Arabidopsis thaliana: one gene and its partners. The protein of the gene in region 1 purifies or fractionates together with the protein of each later gene. This does not show direct contact. Each region holds a gene or a part of one and is shown in the gene's direction. Other genes may lie near its edges. The genes, in order: CARB, AT3G18860, AT1G36280 and Fes1A.

What was found.
Region 2: the proteins of CARB (region 1) and AT3G18860 fractionate together in Arabidopsis thaliana (co-fractionation; one large-scale study listed by BioGRID). This does not show direct contact.
Region 3: the proteins of CARB (region 1) and AT1G36280 fractionate together in Arabidopsis thaliana (co-fractionation; one large-scale study listed by BioGRID). This does not show direct contact.
Region 4: the proteins of CARB (region 1) and Fes1A fractionate together in Arabidopsis thaliana (co-fractionation; one large-scale study listed by BioGRID). This does not show direct contact.

What each region holds. Positions count from the first base shown.
Region 1 is NC_003070.9:10,466,381-10,472,733, forward strand, and holds CARB (carbamoyl phosphate synthetase B), read left to right. Parts: upstream 1-1,575; 5' UTR 1,576-1,783; coding exon 1,784-3,130; intron 3,131-3,275; coding exon 3,276-3,968; intron 3,969-4,072; coding exon 4,073-5,596; 3' UTR 5,597-5,831; downstream 5,832-6,353. Other genes in the region: RWA4 (O-acetyltransferase family protein), read left to right, coding at 1-15, 121-183, 267-323, 441-537, 618-773; CAB3 (chlorophyll A/B binding protein 3), read right to left, coding at 6,063-6,353. UniProt on the Arabidopsis thaliana protein: Large subunit of the arginine-specific carbamoyl phosphate synthase (CPSase).
Region 2 is NC_003074.8:6,499,904-6,507,703, forward strand, and holds the start of AT3G18860 (transducin family protein / WD-40 repeat family protein), read left to right. Parts: upstream 1-1,764; 5' UTR 1,765-1,870; coding exon 1,871-1,936; intron 1,937-2,374; coding exon 2,375-2,706; intron 2,707-3,022; coding exon 3,023-3,126; intron 3,127-3,343; coding exon 3,344-3,412; intron 3,413-3,622; coding exon 3,623-3,683; intron 3,684-3,897; coding exon 3,898-4,037; intron 4,038-4,458; coding exon 4,459-4,648; intron 4,649-4,822; coding exon 4,823-4,884; intron 4,885-5,060; coding exon 5,061-5,149; intron 5,150-5,626; coding exon 5,627-5,699; intron 5,700-5,779; coding exon 5,780-5,839; intron 5,840-5,935; coding exon 5,936-6,082; intron 6,083-6,169; coding exon 6,170-6,208; intron 6,209-6,311; coding exon 6,312-6,349; intron 6,350-6,434; coding exon 6,435-6,521; intron 6,522-6,625; coding exon 6,626-6,791; intron 6,792-7,112; coding exon 7,113-7,190; intron 7,191-7,299; coding exon 7,300-7,436; intron 7,437-7,695; coding exon 7,696-7,772; intron 7,773-7,800. Other genes in the region: LPAT5 (lysophosphatidyl acyltransferase 5), read right to left, coding at 1-68, 173-303, 384-937.
Region 3 is NC_003070.9:13,638,940-13,643,623, forward strand, and holds AT1G36280 (L-Aspartase-like family protein), read left to right. Parts: upstream 1-1,568; 5' UTR 1,569-1,660; coding exon 1,661-1,819; intron 1,820-1,896; coding exon 1,897-2,049; intron 2,050-2,141; coding exon 2,142-2,357; intron 2,358-2,435; coding exon 2,436-2,618; intron 2,619-2,696; coding exon 2,697-2,918; intron 2,919-2,995; coding exon 2,996-3,112; intron 3,113-3,192; coding exon 3,193-3,336; intron 3,337-3,420; coding exon 3,421-3,522; intron 3,523-3,594; coding exon 3,595-3,663; intron 3,664-3,750; coding exon 3,751-3,969; 3' UTR 3,970-4,183; downstream 4,184-4,684.
Region 4 is NC_003074.8:2,869,355-2,873,861, forward strand, and holds Fes1A (Fes1A), read left to right. Parts: upstream 1-1,615; 5' UTR 1,616-1,861; coding exon 1,862-1,947; intron 1,948-2,033; exon of another isoform or gene 2,034-2,333; coding exon 2,334-2,476; intron 2,477-2,565; coding exon 2,566-2,616; intron 2,617-2,731; coding exon 2,732-2,953; intron 2,954-3,074; coding exon 3,075-3,177; intron 3,178-3,268; coding exon 3,269-3,755; 3' UTR 3,756-3,978; downstream 3,979-4,507. Other genes in the region: AT3G09340 (Transmembrane amino acid transporter family protein), read right to left, coding at 7-211, 299-513, 655-929, 1,021-1,172; AT3G09360 (Cyclin/Brf1-like TBP-binding protein), read left to right, coding at 4,442-4,503.

The sequences.
Region 1 (6,353 bases):
TTGGATTCCAATAACGTCAGTACCAACAACTTTGTCTTTTCTTCATTTTCATGGTTCATGCTAAATCTTGAGATAATATGCTTTCTTGATTTATGACCTTTGGTTTTAAATCTGGAACAGTGTCTACATCTGTCTGCGAAATTGCACCCAACAGCTACGGAGATTTTCCCTGACACTCTTTGCGTAAGATTCTCAATCTCTTAATTCCTTATTGTTACCTTCTTGTTCACAGTGCACACAGCTTTTTGACCATGATCTCTCTCTAGGTGGCTGGGCAAGATAACTCTCGAGACCTACATTTCACAGTTTCACATCTGGTTAAGGTTAGTGGGATCTACAAATCGAAGCATATGTTATTATAAAGAAACTTCACAATGTGGTTAGTGAAGCCTTTATGGTTAACATATGTTAGTATAACAATAATTCTCAATGTGGTGCAGATCGAGTGTGCCAAATGGGCAGCCAAAGTTGCTATTATCAATCATCCCAGAATACCCAATGCTCAACTTCATGCTCACCACGGCCATCTACGTCTTGGTAAAAAAGCATCGGTAAAACCATTCTATGCTTTTATCGTTTTATTACTTCTTACACTTTTTTTTTCCTTCTTCATTCAGGTATCTGTTCGACTTTTCGAGCTAACCAATACATTAAAATCAGTTTTCATACCCACGAAAGACGACAAACGGCTGCTCCACAACGTGATTGCTATGGCTGCGATATCATTTTGTTTATATATTATCGGTCTTATTCTTCTCTTGATCCCACATTAACTTTTGTACTAGTCCCTGATCCCTTATTGTCCAGTTGCACCATTATCAAAAAGGATGACGACTCTGAACAAATGTTTCCATTACAGAAGAGACGTCACAAACCTGAGAAACACAAAGTTAAAGTTAGTTGCACAGAGAAAAAAGCTTTTACTACTATATCAAACGTGCAAACACATATAATACTACTATATACAGTTAAAAAGATTGATTCTATAGAGAAGGACATGCGGTACTAGAAAAGTTTGCAGTTTAAGGAAACCTTACCAGATGCGACTGTTATATATAGTACATTATCTGTTTAATCTACTGTAAAGTCAGCAGAAGAGTTGATGATCTGAGCGAAAGCAAAAGCAGTAAGTACCTGCGACCGCATTGACTACAAAATAAATGCGGTAATTAGTTTTGTAATTCGTTGACTTTCTTATTTACTCATTTTAAAACCGATTTGGAATATATACTATATTTAAAAGTCATATAGAGTATAACTTTAATAACATGACACGAATAACATTTGTTTTTAATGAAATAAATCTATATCAAATAATATTTATTGGATTTACTACCAATAAAACTCCATTCATTATAACACCATTTTATATTTTAAACACTCTTGAATAAAACAATAATATTCTAATTTCCAAAAATTTAATTATTTTTTTAAACCAGAGACATAATATCTATCATATTATGGATACGATTCCATAAATGACGAAATGATACATTCTAACCAAAAAAAAAAAAATCATTTCTCTTTGCAACTTTTTGGAAGAGTTAATTATCTTTTTATGTCATTTATCATATTTTCCCAATAATTGTTGTTGAAAAAATGGATTGTCATAATCAAATACAGCAGGATTGAGAAAGACAAAATAAATACCAAACCGGAATAATCCAAATTTCGAGAAACCCTAAAACCCTCTCTCTCGTGTCTCACTCTCTTCTGCAGCAGTCTCCAGTTACAGAGCCGACACAGGCAAAACTTAGAAGAAGAAGAAGAAGAAGAAGCAAAAATGAGAAACCATTGCTTAGAACTCTCTTCCAATTGTTCCTCCATTTTCGCTTCTTCCAAATCCAATCCTCGTTTCTCTCCTTCCAAGCTCTCCTATTCCACTTTCTTCTCTCGCTCTGCCATCTATTACAGATCAAAACCAAAACAAGCCTCGTCTTCTTCTTCCTTCTCCACTTTCCCCCCATGTCTCAATCGGAAAAGCTCCCTCACGCATGTTCTCAAACCCGTCTCAGAGCTCGCCGACACCACTACCAAGCCTTTTTCTCCGGAGATCGTCGGCAAGAGAACCGATCTGAAGAAGATTATGATTCTCGGCGCTGGTCCGATTGTCATTGGACAAGCTTGTGAGTTTGATTACTCTGGTACTCAAGCTTGTAAAGCCTTAAGAGAAGAGGGCTATGAGGTTATCCTGATCAATTCGAATCCTGCCACTATCATGACTGATCCGGAAACTGCTAATCGGACTTATATCGCTCCGATGACTCCTGAGCTTGTCGAGCAGGTTATTGAGAAAGAGAGGCCTGACGCTTTGTTACCAACCATGGGTGGTCAAACCGCATTGAACCTCGCGGTTGCTCTTGCTGAGAGTGGTGCTTTGGAGAAATACGGTGTTGAATTGATAGGAGCTAAGCTTGGTGCGATTAAGAAAGCTGAAGATCGTGAGTTGTTCAAGGATGCGATGAAGAACATTGGGCTAAAGACTCCACCTTCAGGGATTGGGACCACTCTTGATGAGTGTTTTGACATTGCTGAGAAAATTGGTGAGTTCCCTTTGATTATCCGTCCTGCGTTTACTTTAGGTGGTACTGGTGGTGGAATTGCGTATAACAAAGAGGAGTTTGAGTCTATATGTAAATCGGGTTTGGCTGCGAGTGCGACAAGTCAAGTTCTTGTGGAGAAATCCTTGTTGGGTTGGAAAGAATATGAGCTTGAGGTGATGAGAGACTTAGCTGACAATGTTGTCATTATCTGTTCCATTGAGAATATTGATCCTATGGGTGTGCACACTGGTGATTCCATCACTGTGGCACCTGCACAGACTCTAACGGATAGAGAGTACCAGCGGCTTAGGGATTATTCCATTGCGATTATACGGGAGATTGGTGTTGAGTGTGGTGGATCTAATGTGCAGTTTGCTGTCAACCCGGTTGATGGTGAAGTTATGATCATAGAGATGAACCCTAGGGTCTCAAGATCTTCTGCTCTTGCTTCCAAGGCTACAGGGTTTCCCATTGCTAAAATGGCTGCCAAGTTGTCTGTTGGCTATACCTTGGATCAGATTCCTAATGATATCACGAGGAAAACACCGGCTAGCTTCGAGCCCTCCATCGATTATGTGGTGACTAAGGTTTGTCATTCCATACTTTTGGCTTTATTTGTGTTGCGAAATGAGATACGCTTGACTTTGAAGATTTACACACATCTATCCACTTCATGATATATAAACTCAAATGCATATTTTGCTTAACGATATCTATTTCTTTACCATGCAGATTCCTCGATTTGCATTTGAAAAGTTTCCAGGATCTCAGCCATTGCTAACGACCCAGATGAAATCTGTTGGGGAATCTATGGCTCTCGGCCGTACATTCCAAGAATCTTTCCAGAAAGCTCTGAGGTCTCTGGAGTGTGGATTCTCGGGTTGGGGTTGTGCAAAAATTAAAGAGCTAGATTGGGACTGGGATCAGCTGAAATACAGCCTAAGAGTCCCAAATCCTGACAGGATCCATGCGATATATGCTGCCATGAAAAAGGGTATGAAAATTGATGAAATCTACGAGTTGAGCATGGTGGACAAGTGGTTCCTAACCCAGCTTAAAGAGCTCGTGGACGTCGAACAGTATCTTATGTCCGGAACCTTGTCAGAGATTACAAAAGAAGACCTTTACGAAGTCAAAAAGCGGGGATTTAGTGACAAGCAAATCGCTTTTGCTACAAAGACAACCGAGGAAGAAGTCCGTACCAAGCGGATTTCTCTAGGAGTTGTTCCATCTTACAAGAGAGTGGATACATGTGCTGCAGAGTTCGAAGCGCATACACCATACATGTACTCTTCATATGATGTTGAATGTGAATCAGCTCCAAACAACAAGAAGAAGGTTTTGATTTTGGGTGGAGGGCCAAACCGCATTGGTCAAGGGATTGAATTTGATTACTGTTGTTGCCACACATCTTTCGCCTTACAGGTATGTCTTTAGACAATCTAAGCGTCTCTCCCAAAAGCCAGTAAACATTGTTTCAACTTTTTTATGCTAAACTTACTTATCTACTTTTTTTAATTTATTTGCAGGATGCTGGATATGAGACCATAATGTTGAACTCAAATCCTGAAACAGTATCCACAGATTATGATACAAGCGATAGGCTCTATTTTGAACCTCTCACAATCGAGGATGTTCTCAATGTTATCGACCTTGAGAAACCTGATGGCATAATAGTGCAATTTGGTGGTCAAACTCCTCTGAAACTTGCTCTGCCGATCAAACATTATTTGGATAAGCACATGCCCATGAGCTTGAGCGGAGCGGGACCTGTTCGCATCTGGGGTACATCACCTGACTCCATTGACGCTGCTGAAGACAGAGAGAGGTTCAATGCAATTCTCGACGAGCTGAAGATTGAGCAGCCCAAGGGAGGCATTGCAAAGAGCGAAGCTGATGCATTAGCCATAGCAAAGGAGGTAGGGTACCCAGTTGTGGTAAGACCTTCTTATGTTCTAGGTGGACGAGCAATGGAGATCGTTTATGATGACAGTAGACTAATAACCTATTTGGAAAATGCGGTACAAGTTGACCCAGAGAGACCTGTTTTGGTAGATAAATATCTTTCTGATGCCATTGAGATCGACGTTGATACCCTTACTGATTCCTATGGAAATGTGGTGATTGGTGGAATAATGGAGCATATCGAACAAGCTGGTGTGCATTCTGGTGACTCAGCTTGTATGCTTCCAACACAAACCATCCCAGCTTCTTGTTTGCAAACTATTCGAACATGGACCACTAAGCTGGCGAAGAAGCTAAATGTATGTGGGCTGATGAACTGTCAGTACGCAATCACAACATCTGGGGATGTTTTTTTGCTGGAAGCCAATCCCCGAGCTTCCCGTACTGTCCCTTTTGTGTCAAAAGCCATTGGACACCCTCTTGCCAAGTATGCAGCGCTGGTCATGTCGGGCAAATCTCTCAAAGATCTTAACTTTGAAAAAGAAGTTATCCCTAAACATGTCTCTGTGAAAGAAGCTGTTTTCCCGTTTGAGAAGTTCCAAGGATGCGATGTGATACTCGGGCCAGAGATGAGAAGCACAGGAGAAGTGATGAGCATCAGTTCTGAATTCTCAAGTGCGTTTGCAATGGCTCAGATCGCTGCAGGTCAAAAGCTACCTCTATCAGGCACAGTCTTCCTCAGCTTAAACGATATGACCAAACCGCACCTGGAGAAAATCGCGGTGTCCTTCCTCGAGCTTGGGTTCAAAATAGTTGCCACCTCGGGAACAGCTCATTTCCTGGAACTGAAAGGCATTCCAGTGGAGAGAGTGTTGAAGTTGCATGAAGGAAGACCACATGCTGCTGATATGGTGGCGAATGGTCAGATCCATTTGATGTTGATCACAAGCTCGGGTGATGCTCTTGATCAGAAAGATGGGAGACAGCTCAGACAAATGGCTCTAGCATACAAGGTACCTGTTATAACCACTGTTGCTGGTGCATTGGCCACTGCTGAGGGAATCAAGAGCTTGAAGTCAAGTGCCATTAAAATGACCGCTCTTCAGGACTTCTTTGAGGTAAAGAATGTATCTTCTTTGCTCGTCTGAGTTAGTTTTTTTGTTGTGTGTTGATCGTTTGTGTGGAACTTTTTTACGATAAATTTTAACGGATTTTGTTACCCATAAGCATTTCTATGAATAATCTTCGAAAATGCAGCAAACTTGTGATTTATCAATCGGCTTTGTTCCTTTAATTCAGATATACACAAGCCTTTGATTGTATCAGGTCATGTAACGCTTGGCTTAAACTCGAGTTATGTTCTATAAGATTGTGCAATTGTAGAAACAGCCTCTTCATTTGAGCGAACCCAAGAACATTCCATTTGAATTTTAGTTAATACGAGACTAGTATGAGAGAAAATTGAGTTTGATTAATGACAAATCATACAAAGTCTTGCAAATTTACATCTGAAAGTCTCAAACCATCACATACAACCTTCTCTTTCTCCTCATGTCTCTCACTCGAATTCAAAAGACTGAAAGAAAAGCAAAATACAAACTGATAAAACTTGGCTCACTTTCCGGGAACAAAGTTGGTTGCGAAGGCCCATGCGTTGTTGTTGACTGGATCGGCCAAATGGTCAGCAAGGTTCTCTATCGGTCCCTTACCAGTGACAATGGCTTGAACGAAGAATCCAAACATAGAGAACATAGCCAATCTTCCGTTCTTGAGCTCCTTCACCTTCAACTCCGCGAAAGCCTCTGGGTCGGTAGCAAGACCCAATGGGTCGAAGCTGCCACCGGGGTAAAGCAAGTCCTCGGCCTCTCCCAACGGCCCATTTCCTGCGACTCTGTAGCCTTCAAC
Region 2 (7,800 bases), on another chromosome or scaffold:
CTCAATTCCATAAACGTTGTCTAAGAAAGATGGGCAGCGGGTTTTATAACCGATGGTCACATCATAAACTGCAAGTGCAATAGTGTTGCATCAGAGTTTGCGTTTTTCAAGAAGAGAGGAAAGGCCTAGGATCTTAAATCACTGATGCAAACCAGCAAAAGTATAGACAAACCTGCGTCAAGTGAGCAACTCAGTTCTTGCAAGCAGGAGACGAAACCTTTTGTCCTGGGAAGCAGCACGTTGTTCAGTATCGGAAGGCCATTTTCAGCAGCAAATTTCTTACTCCTTTGGCATTTAGCCTCTCTGCATAAAGTTCCATTGTAAAATGCTTTTAACTAAAAGGTCTCTAAACAAGAATGATACTCCAAAGAAAGGAAACGTACGTGTAATCTGTGCCCTCGGGGAAAAGAGCAAGCCATAAAGCGTCTCGGGGATCCTTAAAACTCGAAACTATCTGTCTCAAGTTTGCTTCATCGACTTCCCATCTCCTCTCAACTGGAATAAACTCAAAGAGGTGAAACGCCCAACCAAAGAGAGGTAATTTCATCAAACTACTCTTAAGCACATATTTGATATTCCCAATCTGGCCTTTACGCAGTGCAAGATCCCAGAAGTACATCCAATCAACTTCTGTTCGGTGGTTTGCAATGAGCAATACTCGATCCTCGCAAGGAACCTTATCACCAGAGAAGATAACTTTGGTTTTGTTAATCTTCTCAAAGAGGAAAGGCCACAAGGCGAGCCACGAGCCAAAGAAGAAGGAAACACATTTACGGCTATAGCGAATGCTGAAAAGCCTCAACACTACAGCTGATAAGAACCCCCAGAATATCAACATCATAAAAGCTGTTGAAACTAACACCATCAGACATATTATACCTCTTAACACTCTAATCAGAGACAACTTATCAGAATTTGGTACACTCTTTTTTTCCATTTTATACACCTTAAGATAATCTAATTAACCTCCCCCTTCTAGTCTTCTATTCTTGATGCAATGAATCACAAAGTTCATGAATTTCCTGTTACCAGAATCACCATCAGAGCTCATATGGTTGAACACAACATACTTCACCTGCAGGTAATGATCAAAGACACATCAAAATAAGAATCGATAGCAAAGTACTTTATCAACAGAAAACGAAAACAATGTCTTGTAATTTAATAGACTTATTCAAATTCATACAATCTGATTAATGTTGGATTAAAATAAAGAAGAAGCTTGTATTCTCAAACACATATATACATTGTCTAAAACAAAAACTCTCACCAAGATAATCAAGATTCAAGCACAAATCTCAGTGAGGATTAAAAAAGCCAATCAAGAACACAGCATTTGTAAAATTTATTATTGGAAAAAAGAAATTCAGACAGAGAAAGGAACCAGATAGAAGAAGACAGCTTACCATGGAACTGAGCTTCCAGGTTTTATTTATAAACAAACAGTGCAGAAGAAGAAGAATTTAATGGCCGAGAAAAATATCATGAAGGACTACGATCGTTTTGTGAAAATAGGCTCAGAGGTTGTTGCTAATTACGGTCTATGCCACTTCTCGTAGAAAGTAGTACTCTTAGGAAGGTGAGGAAATTTAAACCACTGTCCCCTCCTTTTTCGTCATTATTAAATTCGACACGTCATCGTGTTTCATTGTTCCCTTTATTCAGCTTATTATTATTTTCAGTCTATCAATTGGGCCGGGCTTTGAAAGCCCACAAAGGTTATTTATTATACGTTTATCCTTATATAAAAGAAAGGAAATAAGAAATTAGTTTTTCTCCTGCAGAGTGTTTCTCCTTCCTCAAGTCACTTTTTGAGTCGCAGCAATTTGGCGTTTGGTATCTCTCAATCTGCTGCTTCTCCTTCTCAGTCATGGTCATGGATATCGATTTCAACGAGTACAAGCTCAGGTGCGAGCTTCATGGCCACGATGATGATGTAAGATCTCTTTGCTAAATCCACTTCTTCTTTCTACTGTTTTGATTTCTCGTTTTCGTGATCGATTCTACTCTAGATTTTGAAATTAAGTCTTGTATTCAGTAGGGTTCAGCAAAATTCACCCTCGTGATTCCAATTTCACTGTTCCGCTTTTGATCCAGGGTTTTTCAATTCAATGAGCTGATTTGATAGTTAGTGTGAAGCTTTGTTTTGATTAGTTTTATTATTAGGTTGACTTCTCAACGAATTTGTACTCAATTTGAGAATTTTATCTAATAGGGTTTGATGTTTAACCTTGCGTGCCAATGGCATTAATATAGATCAAATTTATACAATTTTTCGGCAGGAGTGTGATTGTCTTTATGCTATTGAGCTTATGCAATTGAATAATAACTGTGATTGTGACAATGGAAACTCATGGTTTATCAACATCTTCAGGTTCGTGGGATTTGTGTGTGTAATGATGAGAATATAGCTACTTCATCAAGAGATAGGACCATAAGGGTTTGGTCACTGGATCCATCTGATAAGCGCAAGTATACCTCCGAGAAAATTCTGCTGGGTCATACTAGCTTTGTTGGGCCACTTGCATGGATCCCACCAACTGATGAATACCCTGAAGGAAGACTTGTCTCTGGGAGTATGGATACTTTCGTTTTTGTTTGGAATCTGATGAATGGAGAGAATATTCAGACATTGAAGGGTCATCAGATGCAAGTCACTGGTGTTGCTATTGATAATGAGGACATAGTTTCATCTTCAGTTGATCAGTAAGTCCTCCTGTTCATGTAATTTCCTTAGTATGACATTTACCAACTGTTTAGTCAATAATGCCTCTTACTTAGTATCCAGTGAGTGTACTAGCCTGCGGTTTTCCTTCACTGTTTCCCAGGAATTGTATCACATACAGGATATTATATGAATCTTAACCGTAGTTGTAAAGGTTTTATGAGTGTTAATTGTGTGCATTATTGTCTTGAGTAGCTTACTAGCTTTAGTAATACTGGGGTAAAGAGATCCATCAAATTTTGATTTACCCTCTACTGTTGTGTAATGTAACTTACATTTATTTATTTTTATTTGTAGAACCCTGAAACGATGGAGAAACGGTCAGCTTGTTGAATCTTGGGATGCACACCAGTCGCCTATCCAGGCAGTGATAAGGCTGCCATCTGGTGAGCTCGTTTCAGGTACATGATCCAGCTAAAGCTGTCATTTGATGCATTTGTTTCTGTTTTTTTTGTTGTTTTCTTGCTGCCATGGACTTCCTTATTCGATTGTATTTTCTAGTATGATCGTTTTGCAAGCTTAGGTTAAATGATTTTTTGGTTGTTCTTAAGATGCATATACTTCTTTTTGATTAGGCTTGACGGCATATTTTTCACTGATGTTACTTGTACTTACCAGGTTCAAGTGACGCCAGTCTCAAACTCTGGAAGGGTAAAACGAGTCTGCAAACTCTTTCAGGGCATACAGGTGAATTCATTACTCTCTCCCAAATTTCGTATCTCTCAAAATTTCCTTGTCAATATGAGAAACTGCATACCGGAAATAAGATAGAATCTGATACTAGCTGCTCTAAGATATCTTATCTTGTGAAGTGCCAAGACACTGGCCTGTTGTCAGGGATTCCTTGTTATTGGAGAAACTATTGTCTTATACAAGTATTTTTATTTTACAATGCAGATACTGTTAGAGGGTTAGCTGTGATGCCTGATTTAGGATTTCTTTCCGCATCACATGATGGGTAAGTTATTTGCTTCCAACAAACTCATGCCTTACTGAATTTCATTGTCCAAGTGAATCCTTATGTGCTTAACTCGAATTGTGTTGTCTTTTGCATGACCTGGATAAGTTTTGTGATCCGGGGATAATATGATACTTGAGTTTTCTCTTATTTATCCTTTCATGTGTTTGTACACAGCAAAGGTTGTAAATCACTATTTTATTTTTTCTAACAGTTCAATCAGGTTATGGGCACTAAGTGGCGAAGTTCTTCTTGAGATGGTTGGCCACACCTCCCTTGTTTATTCAGTTGACGCACATTCGTCTGGCCTTATTGTTAGTGCCAGTGAAGATCGTCATGCCAAGATATGGAAAGGTGATTACGGGTTCCTTAGTTTCTATTGATGCCTTGGCTGTTCTTCACTTATGTTTCACAGTTTTCTAGGTTATATGAGGTCTGAGATGTTTAAATTTGGAAAATATGTCTCCACTTTTCAGTATGTTGCTCGCTCTTAAAGTTTTCTTTCAATAATAAAGATGTCTATATATCATATTTTTGTGGAAGACGTGTTATAAATTTGATCACTTAGTTGCAACCTATGGAAAGTTAGTTGTTAGTATGTCAGACAGTAATCAACTGATCAGAAACCAGTTTGAAAGGCTCACGAAGATTGGTCTGCAATAGCTGTTATAATAGATATCACTTGCGAAAAGAGACTGACATTTTGGTTTAAAGCATGTTTAGATCTTATAGGTTGATCTATTGTTCTTACTTTGTTATTTTTGTTTTGGTACAGATGGAGTCTGCGTTCAGAGTTTGGAACACCCAGGCTGTATCTGGGATGCCAAGTTTTTGGAAACCGGAGATATTGTGACAGCATGTTCAGATGGAGTGGTTCGTGTTTGGACAGTACGTCATGATGCGATTGCAGATCAGATGGAGATTGATGCCTATGATTCCCAAATTTCTCAATACAAACTAAGCAGGTAATCTGATCATTTATGGTGATCTCTATTCTTATCGACTAAATTCTATGTCCATTGAGTTTTTTTTCTTCACGTGGCAATGCATATTATATGACCTGCTGACGGGGTATGCTTTCTTGTCTTTTATGCTCAAAATATAACTGCAAAGTATATGCGTGCTGTTCTTTATCTCAGGAAAAAGGTTGGCGGATTGAAACTTGACGAGCTGCCAGGGCTTGATTCTTTGACGTCACCAGGTACCATTTATTATCCAATTAATTGTAATATTAATGTTTCGTACGGGAGAAAGGCTAAATTTTAAAGAATCTCAAGAGAACACAAAGATAATTGATAGTGTCTGGCGATCAAATTTGAATAGATTAAGCTGGCATTCTTGTAACATCATCCTCTCTTATTTGATATATGTTCTCAGGTACCAGTGATGGCCAGACAAAAGTAGTAAGGGAAGGAGACAATGGTGTTGCTTATGCATGGAATATGAAAGAACAGAGATGGGACAAAGTAAGTAAACAGAATGAACTTTTATCTTTTTTTTTATTTGTCGACTGCATTTCGTTTTTGCTCTTGACCTGAATGCGGCTTTGCTATATATTAGATCGCATGCATGAATATACAGATAACTTCCCTTTGAAACAATTACCTTGAGGAATATTTGTTACTTTGTTCATCGAAAAGTTGCCATCGGATTAGGGCTTGTAATTTCCACGAATGAGCATGCTGTCTGGTCATAAATTGATAGCATGTACTGCCAGCAATTTGCCTTTTGCGAGGATTTTATTTAATGTGGCAACCCATACCTGAGAGGAAAATTTCATCTGATTTTGACTTCTGATCCTCCTTCGAAGTAGCAATCTCTTAAGTAGATAGCAAGTAAATGAGATAGATTTCTCTCTAACATTTGTTTGCATATGAAGGATTAAACATTGGCTTTTTAGTGTGGTAGAATGTTTTGAGTTCTCACTGCATGCCTTTTTTCAGATTGGTGAGGTTGTTGATGGCCCAGATGGTGTGGCTGATCGTCCAATTCACGAGGGAGTTCAATATGATTTTGGTTAGATTTTGACCTATTATGGAAACTTGAGAATCTCTCAAAATCGAAGAACAAAATTCTTAGCCCTTTTTTTTCTCTAGTTTTCGATGTTGACATTGGTGATGGGGAACCTATCCGGAAGCTACCTTACAATCGATCAGGTACCTGAATGCTCTTACTGGCCTTGTTTTATTACAAGTGCAACCACAAGAAACTGCTTCAGTTTTTGATACTTCAAATCTTTTCTTGTTTGGCAGACAATCCTTATGATGCAGCTGACAAGTGGCTTCTAAAAGAGAATCTCCCCTTTGCATATCGGCAGCAAATTGTTGAATTTATATTACAAAATTCTGGGCAGAAAGACTTCAACTTTAATCCATCTTTTCGTGATCCCTTCACCGGCGGTATAAAATTTTTGAAAATAATTGGTCTGAAATTTTGTTTTTAGGATTTTATTTTAATTTTGTGTTTTGCCTTTTATTGTGTAACAGCAAATGCTTATGTGCCTGGGCAAGCATCTCGTACAGCTGGTATGAATACACTGTCTGTGTCATTTTCACATAATACTTTCAATTTCTTCATTTCTTGTATTGTTCTTTTGCTGCCTCATGCTCTGACTCTTTTCTGTTGCAGCAACTCCGGCAAAACCTTTATACAAGCACATTCCAAAAGTACGCTGGTTCTCTTTCTTTATTAGTTATTACTGTTTAATGTTTCTAGCTTTTTGATCCTTTTTTCTTCCATAACTCTCTCCAGAGAGGTGTGCTAGTTTTCGATGCTGCTCAATATGACGGGATTCTGAAAAAGATGACAGAGTTCAATACTACTTTACGATCTGACGCAGTAAGCTTTCAGTATCAACTTTAGTCACACAAAATGATTAAATGGTTATTTTACTTATACTATTGTTGGTATTTATGTTTCTACAATTTTTCCATCTTTTGAAGGTAAACAATGACAAGTCCCTGACCGAACTCGAAGTATCCAGAGTAGGCGCAATCGTTAATATACTGAAGGACACATCACACTACCACTCTACCAATTTTGCTGACATGGATATTGCTTTGCTTTTGAAAGTGCTACAAGCATGGCCACCGGCAATGATGTTTCCTGGTTGGTCTTCTCTTGTCAATCAATTAGTCAAACAGAACTGTTTATTACATATTGAACTTTTGATGGTAGCCATATGTTTCTCAATATTATGAAGCCACAGCAAAGTCAGTTTTTTCCGAGATGCTTGTTAAACAATCTAAAATGAGATATGTTTTGGTTTATTTGGATGTTATTCTTGGTCTCCTTGTGTTTCTTTTGATGTTTCTTGCAGGCCATAAAGCATTTTGCCTTTCGCTGGCCACTTTATTTTTGTCTTTTGTTGGATATAGCCTTATGTTTATCTTGTGTCAAGCTCTTATACCTATGGTTTTGAATATGCAGCTACTGATATAGTAAGGATGCTCGTTTTGCATCATCATGGAGCAAGTCTACTTATCAAGCATGTGGAAAACAACAATGGTAATCATCTAATTCGTGAAGCTATGCTTTCTCAACATTAATGAAAGTACTAGCTAGTAGGTAATGTCCTTTATTAACTGGTATCTCTCTGTTACTATATATCAATCAGACCTGCTTTTGGATTTGATAAAGAAAGTTACAGAAGATTCTGCTCTTCCTGCAAATCTTTTAACGACTGTTCGTGTCCTTGTTAATCTATTCAAGAATTCTTCATTTCATTACTGGCTACAGACGCATCATAGTCAAGTAAGGACTCTTTCATTTCTATGATTTTATACCAGAACTAGGATGTGTGATGATCTCGATGAACCTACTAATTGGTTTAGCTGTGACTTGCAACCTGAGGAGAAATTTTTGGGTTTTATGTCTAATATACATTGCTTTTTTGCGTCTGGGCATATAAATTAAGTTTCTAATTACATTTAAACATAAGATAGTGCCTATACATGTGTGTGTTTATTATAATAATTTGAGAAGTGGTTTTAATTGCTGTGGATCAATGCAGATTCTTGATGCCTTCTCAAACTGTTATTCATCCCCAAATAAGAATCTGCAGTTGGCTTATTCGACGTTGCTTCTCAAGTAAGATCTCTCTTATATTACTTTCTTC
Region 3 (4,684 bases), 3.2 Mb from region 1:
TGTCTCTAGTATTGATGGTTACTTGCTTTCCTCTTTATCGGTTTTGCTATTTTTTGGTTTGACGTCGGTGTGAGGTCTCCATGGTCTTATTGGTGCTTCCGACGTTCACAGGTTCTATAGGAAAGCTTGGCGAGATCTATCGTTCCTTTGTTCAATTTTAGCGCTTAGGTTTCAATGTTTTCCTATGTGGTTCAGTGGTTCTCTCTTTTCTTACATTGGTTTCTGTTTGTATATTAAGGGCTTGATTGGTTCTCCCTCTGCCACCCGCAAACGCTGCGTTTGCGGGTGGTAGCGGTTATTAGCGGTTGGCACCAATCATAGAAACCGCTAGATACCGCTTTGGACCGCTCGAAATCGCCAGATTTCAAAAGCTCATTCCCGCAAGCGTTTGCGGGTGCGGGCGGTAGCGGTTAAGTTAAAAAAAAAAAAATTAATTCATTAAAATAATTATATCTTCCACCCAAACCCTATACTTATTCTTATCAGAAAACCCTAATCAATATATTGAAACCCTATTCTCTCAATTATGGCATCCACCCAAACTGACGAAAATCAAAGTCAAAATTAAGAATCAAACGTAAGTATGATCTATCCTTTCATCCATTCATTAGCTAGTGTAATTCTCGGAATATTTCATGGCATCGTTTTTTTTTTTTTGGTTTTTTTTGTGTTTTTTGATTGAATACATGTTTTGATTTGTTTTCTCGATTAGAAAATCATTTGGTCAGACGAGACCACATTTGCGTTACTTCAAAGACTTTGATTTCTAAGTGATGTTCAAAAAGAAAATATTCTTAAGAATATTAACGTTTGGAAAAATTTTGAGTTGGAGATGTGTTAAAAATCGTTTGGATATCTTGAAGAAACTTTATCATATGTATAGAGGCAATCTAGAAAACCCGTGAGGTCAACGTTATTTACAGTTTATCACACTACTTGATGCAATTTTTGGTGATTTACCAAATGCATAAAGTATTAAGTTTTTTCTTACAAAATCTATTTATTTTTGAATTTTCAGTTTTATTTATGGTTTTAATTATTAAGCATGTTTAATTTTTCAAATATTATCAATTTATCATAATAATATATTGTATTTTTTCTTTTAATAGTAATATATTATATTTATTTTGGTTATTTTTTATTTAATTATTATCGCACCCGCTGGTTTACCAGTCATAAAACTCCCGCAACCGCACCCATTACCAAACGCTCAACCAGTCGTTCAAAACACTTGATAACGCTTGAAACCGCAACCGCCCGTTTCCGTAAACTCCCGCAACCGTAACCGTACCCGCTGTATTTAAACCAGTCTGGCCCTAAGGCTAGTGTACGTTAGTTTCTCCAAATTTGTTTGGGCAAAACTTCCCTCTTCCGTCTGCCGGCATATGTAATTTTAACTTATATCCTTTCTTTGGTTCTTAATAAAATTCAGATGACAAAAAAAAAAATCGCAAACAAATATAACTTAATTCAAATCAAGAACAAAACGATAACCAAACTAAATTAGAAATGATTTTAATTTCTGTATAACCGATAAAATAAATAGCAGAACCAAACCAAACCAAACCGCGAACCGATCTCGCACTCATATTGCTCTCTTTCTTCTTCTCTATATGCTCTGTTTTCGAGTAAATTGCCATAAACCCTAAATCACACAAAAATGGAGCTCAATTTATCTTCGATGGCCACCAAAATCCCTTGTTCCGGCCTTATACCCATAAGAAGTCTTTTAAACCCATCAAAATCTCTGTCTCATCTTCCAAGAGTTTCATTCTCTGTTTCTTCTCCTCATTCTCTCAAGCTAATGACTTCAACAAAGGTAAAGCCTTTCTCTAGTTTCAAGCCTATTTACTTTGTGGGTTTTTGTATGTAATCTGATAAATGAATATACTTTAGTTGATAGCAATGGCTAGTGCAAGTTCCAGAGACTTTGAGATGTCGAATTTAACAGCATTATCGCCTTTGGATGGACGTTATTGGGGAAAAGTTAAGGACTTGGCTTCTTCTATGAGCGAGTTTGGATTGATCTATTTCCGAGTACTTGTCGAGGTATTGGGTTATGTTCTGATTCATTGATTGATTAGGAAGATTGGTTTTGTTTGAGTAGTTAGCTAAAGTCTTCAACTTTGTACTTTTGTTAGATCAAATGGCTTATTAAGCTTTCAAATATACCTCAAGTCACTGAAGTTCCAAGCTTTAGCAAAGAAGCTCATAAGTACTTGCAAGGTATAATCGATGGATTTAGTATGGATGATGCATTGCAAGTTAAGAAGATTGAGAGAGTGACAAATCACGATGTGAAAGCAGTGGAGTATTTTTTGAAACAAAAGTGTGAATCACATCCAGAGATTGCTAAGGTTAGAAACCGTTTCTTACTCTTCTTAGGGTTTGGATGCTTTGATTGATGATGCATTGACTAAATGTCTCGTCTTTAGGTTCTAGAGTTTTTCCATTTCGCTTGTACGTCTGAGGACATCAACAATCTTTCCCATGCTTTGATGCTTCAAGAAGCACTTAGTTCGGTTATACTTCCTACCATGGATGAGTTGATCAAGTCTATCTCTCTGATGGCTAAGAGCTTTGCATATGTACCTATGCTTTCACGAACTCATGGGCAGGTAATGTCCAAAGAGAAGTATTATTTTTCAGTTCTATCTATCTCTTTGTTAAAGCAATGGTCATGATTTATAATGCAGCCAGCTTCACCTACAACATTGGGGAAGGAAATGGCGATTTTTGCTGTGAGGTTAAGTGTAGAAAGGAGATATCTTTCAGAAACTAAGATTAAGGGGAAATTTGCGGGTGCTGTTGGAAACTACAACGCGCATATTTCCGCGTATTCTAATATTGACTGGCCTCATGTTGCAGAGGAGTTTGTTACTTCTCTTGGATTAACATTTAACCCATACGTGACTCAGGTATATATATAGTTTCTCTTGATCAAATTTTTCCTGGTGGAATGATTTGTAAAGTTCCTCACTGGTGGTTTTTGCAGATTGAACCACATGACTATATGGCTAGACTTTTTAATACAATTAGCCAATTCAACAATGTCTTGATTGATTTTGACAGAGATATATGGAGCTACATATCTCTAGGTTACTTTAAGCAGGCAAGTATTAACAAAAATATGTCCGAGTCATTTGAAAAGGAATGGGAAAATCTGTCTCATTGTTTGAAATTTTGATGCAGATAACTAAAGCGGGTGAAATCGGATCATCGACAATGCCTCACAAAGTGAATCCTATTGACTTTGAGAACAGCGAAGGGAATCTAGGTAAAGCAAATGCAGAGCTTGCTTTTCTCAGCATGAAGCTTCCCATTTCACGAATGCAGGTTTGAGCATACTCCACTAGATCTTGCTAACAGTAATGGTGTAGAAGTAAGTAAGCCTGAAAATTTAAATGTACATATCTGCAGCGTGATTTAACAGATTCAACTGTCTTGAGAAACATGGGTGGAGCTTTAGGACACTCTCTTCTGGCTTACAAGAGCGCGATACAGGGAATTGGGAAGCTTCAGGTATTATTATTTCCGTTGCCCTAAGAAAGAAAGGTCTTCACTTGTCATAGACTAAGGATGTTCTTGATATAGGTTAATGAAGCTCGGTTAAAAGACGATTTGGATCATACTTGGGAAGTCCTCGCTGAACCGATACAAACTGTAAATTTCTCGAAACTTTCTAGTCTTATTATAATGATCAAGTTATTATTCCATGTACATTGGTAACTGAAGGAATAAAAAAAACAGGTGATGAGGAGATATGGTGTTCCAGAGCCGTATGAGAAGCTGAAGGAGCTAACAAGAGGAAGAGCTGTGAATGAAGAAAGCATTAGAAAGTTTATTAAAAGTTTGGAATTGCCTGAAGAAGCAAAAGACCAACTTTTGAAGCTAACTCCACACACATATGTTGGCGCTGCTGCTGCATTGGCACTAGCCGTGGATGATGCTGTGCACTTGGGACATTAATAATATGATCATATTGGTGTAGATGATTCTGCTTGTTGTATTATGATTTTCTTTTCCCAAATCCAATGGGAAAACAAGAATCAGTTTATTGATCGTTGTGTTATGTTTCTTTTTTGAGTTTCAATTAATCTAGAGCCTCGTTTTGATCTTAAGCGTCATGAATTATATAAGTTGTGTGTGGTCAATGATTCTCAAACCAATAAAAAATTATGGTTATTAAACAGACCAATAGATTGAAACCTGATCCAAGGGCCATCTTGCTTCCATCTCAACATGTCTTTTTAGTCGAAAAATACTTTTTCGGCCAAATGATGGTGAGTTTGTTTTTTCTTTTTGCTTGGAAATGATGAATATTCCTGAAATATCTATCTTTTAACATTCGAGCTACTAAAGATTTTAGATATTGTATCAATCGTCAATACTGTTTAGCCACATCATTGAACTCTCTAGGGAATGAAATCACAAACCTCCTTCTTTATCCATACACATTTTCTCTCATGCTATCCAATGAATCCTACAATCTCTTCCATTAGAACTCCACCAGTAATTCAAAATTGCACTCATTGACTTACTTGATCATTGTCTCTTTCCCATATTTTGACAGATACTTAGCTGACTAACCATTAACCCGTTCATTAAATCTTCCCAAAATAGTTAACAATTTTACTTTTTGAACCCTTTAAACTCTCTAGTATACTTAATAGGTACCCATTCC
Region 4 (4,507 bases), on another chromosome or scaffold:
TGGAACCTGAGAGATAGGAGAGTAAGCTAAGGTCTTTGAGCCAAACTGTAGGAAGAACAATAAGAGTAGCTGATATAGCAAAGATCTGAGGAGAATCTAGAGATACTCCAACGATGTTTAATGTAATGTTGGGGAAAACTCTCGATAAATTATCGCTCATCATGATTATATACTCCACACAACATACGTATAACTCCATGTACAGAAGTATCTGCAACTCTCAAAAGAGATCAAGAACCCTATATATTAGTTTGGAGATATGTGAAGTATATATGTAAATCATTTCCATATAACTCACGGAGATGATGAGGCGGCCTGTAAATCCAAAGGCAGCTTGACCAATGTCCGGGTAGGTACGGAGATCAGAAGAGCTCTCAAGACATCGTTTGAGGAGGATACCGGTGTAGCAAGTGATGATAGCAAAGGATAAGAGTATACAAAGCCCGAGCCATCCTCCTTCTTTCACCGCGTAAGGCATTGTGAGTAGACTTATTCCACAAAGGACATTGATTCCTTCACCAAAAATAGGTTCAACTTAAAGAGAGATTGAAACTTTTCTTTTTGTTATGACGATAAAATCTATTCAACCGAACCGAATGCCTAAACCCTAAAGACTTTTGAGACAGAATCAATATCGATACTACTACGTCTTACCATTTAGAACAGATTGGGGAAACGAGCAGAAATTTGGTTCTCCATACGAGAGATCGGTGTTGGATAACCCGACCTGAGATGAAAGGAATGATACATCGTCTTTCTCAGAGAGCAGCGGTTGTTTGCTTGTGGAAGACACAAACGAATTTGCAATAGAGGTTGGACGTCTCTTGTATAAGGAAGCGATGGAGCTACTGAATGATGTCTCAGTACTTCTCCCTTGTATGAAACTGACCATAGGAGGTGTAACTCCGGTCAAGAGATCCACAGAGTGTCTGAATTTTACATGAAAAAAAGAAGGAAGAATCTTCACAAACACTTCAAATAATTTCGTTAGATATCGAAAAACAAAGTATTTTATTTTACCTATAACTCTGAGGCCAGAAAGCGGAATCATTCTGGGATAATGAAAAAGATGCATTGGAATCATCGTCGTCATTAACATATGAGACATCGACATGGCAGTCATCGTCATCTGTCTGAATCAATATGTCCCTTTCTTGCTCCTCAAGATCCATCTTCGTCGTCTCTGCTTCAAAACAGAGTTAAATCAGAGCAAGTAACAGATTCCAGGACAGAACAAACGAAACAGGAAAAAAAGGAGGGAACAGAGAAGTGAAATGAATATTGGAAGAAATATAAAGAGACGACGAAGAGACTCGGTATTGAGTTCGATGTGTTGTCACGTCTGACGTCTGTCAACTTTGTATTAGTCTTAGGAAAAAAACACTTTGTATTAGTCCATTGATACTACTTGATCATATGTAACGAATTAAATTCTGGTCGACTGGTCGTTAAATTTAGAGTGGAAGGTAACGTTCACATGTTTAAAAGGTCCAAAGTCAAAAGGTACATGCGTGGCATAGATTTGCCAATAAATTAAAGAAAAAAAGGTAAATTCAAGAAAGGCTTATCGAGCTAATTTAAGCCCAATAATACTGAACTATTTGGGCTTGAGTCTTAAAGGCCCAATTTGTGGAGGAGGCGTCATCGTCTTCGCTTTTCCTTTTCCCTTGAGAGGTCGTCGACGAGGTTTAAGATTTTTAAGAATGTTGTAGTAGCTTCGCGAATAATCTCAGGTCTTCTATAAAACCAAACTAGCGATTAGCCGACTCTTCCTCTTTATTATTACAAAGACGAAAAGGCTTCGAGTTTTGTAATTTCTTCTTCTGTTACAAGTTCTTTTCACTGTGAAAGTAATTCTTCAATGGCGAAAGACGGACCTAATTGGGATGGTTTGCTTAAGTGGAGTCTCTCTCACGCCGACGGTACTCGACCCACTCGCCAGTTGAGGTACGGACATTCATCTTGTAGTTGGTTTTTTAGGTTCTGTCTTTTGATTTGTCTGAAACTGATGGGATGCTTGGTGGGTAGTTTAGGTATCTGTGTGGCTATGATTGAGCTTTCACTTGAGGAGATGAATCTTATGAGTGAATTCGAATCTGGGTTTGTTTAAAGTAGTTTTCTTTTTTGAAGATATCTGTTCAGTTCATCGGTTTGGTTAAGATTCAATTATCGAATTCTGCTGTTATGTAGGTGAAAGGTTATCTATTTTCTCGTTTTTACATGAAACTCTGTTAATTTTTTTTAAGGGAATTCACGATTTGTTCATGTCAAATCATTCTGTATGTGTTTTATTGTGGATTGTTTTGTTGATTTGAGTTGTTTTAATGAGACAGTGAGGAGGATCGAAAATGGTTTATGGAGGCTATGCAATCGCAGACTGTAGATGTAGTCAAACGCATGAAGGAGATTACACTAGTTATGCAAACACCTGAACAAGTTTTGGTGGAACATGGAGTAACACCTGAAGATATCCAAGGTGCGTAATTTGTGGCTATAATACATAGCTTAGATCTTTATCTTTTGCCATTGTGTGTAGGGTACTAATTGAGTTTATTATTCTGGTAGATTTGCTGGATGAGCTGCAAGAGCACGTTGAATCGATCGATATGGCTAACGGTACATTATCTCTAACTTGGACTTTGCTTTTTTTTTTTTTTTTTTTTTCTTTCCTGTTCTGGTTAGCTCAATTTGAACATTGCTTGTAACAACTTGTTTACTTACTATTGTGTAGATCTTCATTCAATTGGAGGCTTGGTTCCTCTTCTTAGTTTCCTTAAAAACTCTCATGCTAATATTCGGGCAAAAGCTGCGGATGTCGTTAGCACAATAGTTCAGAACAATCCTAGAAGTCAGGAACTTGTTATGGAAACCAATGCTCTGGAGTCATTGCTCTCGAATTTCACTTCAGACACTGATATTCACGCTCGAACCCAGGCTCTTGGCGCAATATCATGTAAGCCTGCTTCTGATAGTTCATTTTTAGTAAAGATTGAGATGATCAAAAGCTTTTGTGATTTCTATTTTACTTGGTTTGTGATACTAAAAGAGACTTATCTTTTCAATATGGGATGTAGCTTTGATTCGCCATAACAAACCAGGAGTAACGGCTTTCAAGCTTGCCAATGGTTATGCTGGCCTAAGAGACGCCTTGGCATCTGATAGTGTGAGATTTCAAAGGTAACCCACACAAATATTCTTATCATCTGCGGATATAAAATCGTGGAAGATTCTTGAATTGTTGCTCATTTTCTTTATTCAAATTCTCCAGGAAAGCCTTAAACTTGTTGCAATATCTACTGCAAGAGGATGATTCAGACCGCAGTATTGCCACTGGACTTGGATTCCCCCGAGTGATGATGCATCTTGCCTCTAGTGACGATGCTGAGATCAGAGAAGCCGCTCTTCGTGGATTACTTGAGCTTTCAAGAGAGAAAAACGATGGAAGTAGCAGCATAGATAAAAGCGATGAGAAACTGAGGCAGCTACTAGAAGAACGGATCAAAGGAATCACCTTGATGTCACAAGAGGATCTTGAAACGGTTAAAGAAGAGAGACAGCTCGTGGATTTACTGTGGAGCATTTGCTACAATGAACCTTCTTCTCTGAGAGAAAAAGGACTTGTCGTTCTTCCCGGTGAAGACGCATTGCCTCCTGATGTCGCTAGCAAGCTCTTTGAGCCTCCTCTTAGAGCTTCTGCAGCAAACCGTAATGCTACTGAGAAGAAAGATGAACCTATGAAACTACTTGGACCATAGACGAGAAATCAAAGCTAAAACTTTTTATTACTTTTCCTTGTTTTTTATGTTTTGTAACTTTTCAAATTGTCAGAAAAGTTTCATAGATATATGTATTATGTCAATGATCAAGGGCTATGTTATGTTAATTTTTGTTTTCATCATTCGAGATCTTTAGTCTTGTTATTGTTGAGATTAAGAATATTCAGCTTCAATGCTTTTTCAATTCAACAAGTGTTCTATACGATTTCGGTTTAGCAACAGCTAATACGGACCCGATCTAATTGATCGGTTAAAATTGGTAACTTTGAATTGCGGTGAACCGAAGAACAAAACCAAAGCGAACGTCACAATTACTTTGCAATCCCTAAAGGGACAGAGTTCGAATCAAGGCAGTCTCACATATCGGAGAAATCTCTCGTCACGTCTCTCAGCTTCGCCTTCAACACCGTCGTCGCCGTCACGGCCAACTCCGGTATTGTTATATAGATACAATTACAGTGAACTAGATAATCTCATCAAACCCTGATTCTTTCCACTTCCTCGCACGATTGTGTGAAAACAGTTACTTTCGCTATAAATAGTCTGATCTTCTTTCTATTGAGCAGTAAGATTGGAAGCTGTTGTTTCGAATCGATTCAAGCCTCGAATCTGAGTTTCGGATCGATATTAGAAGCTAAGGTAGGAGCTTTTTGAGTGAAGGAGTTATGGTATGGTGTAACCATTGCGTGAAGAATGTTCCCGGAATACGCCCTTATGATGGTGCATTGTAA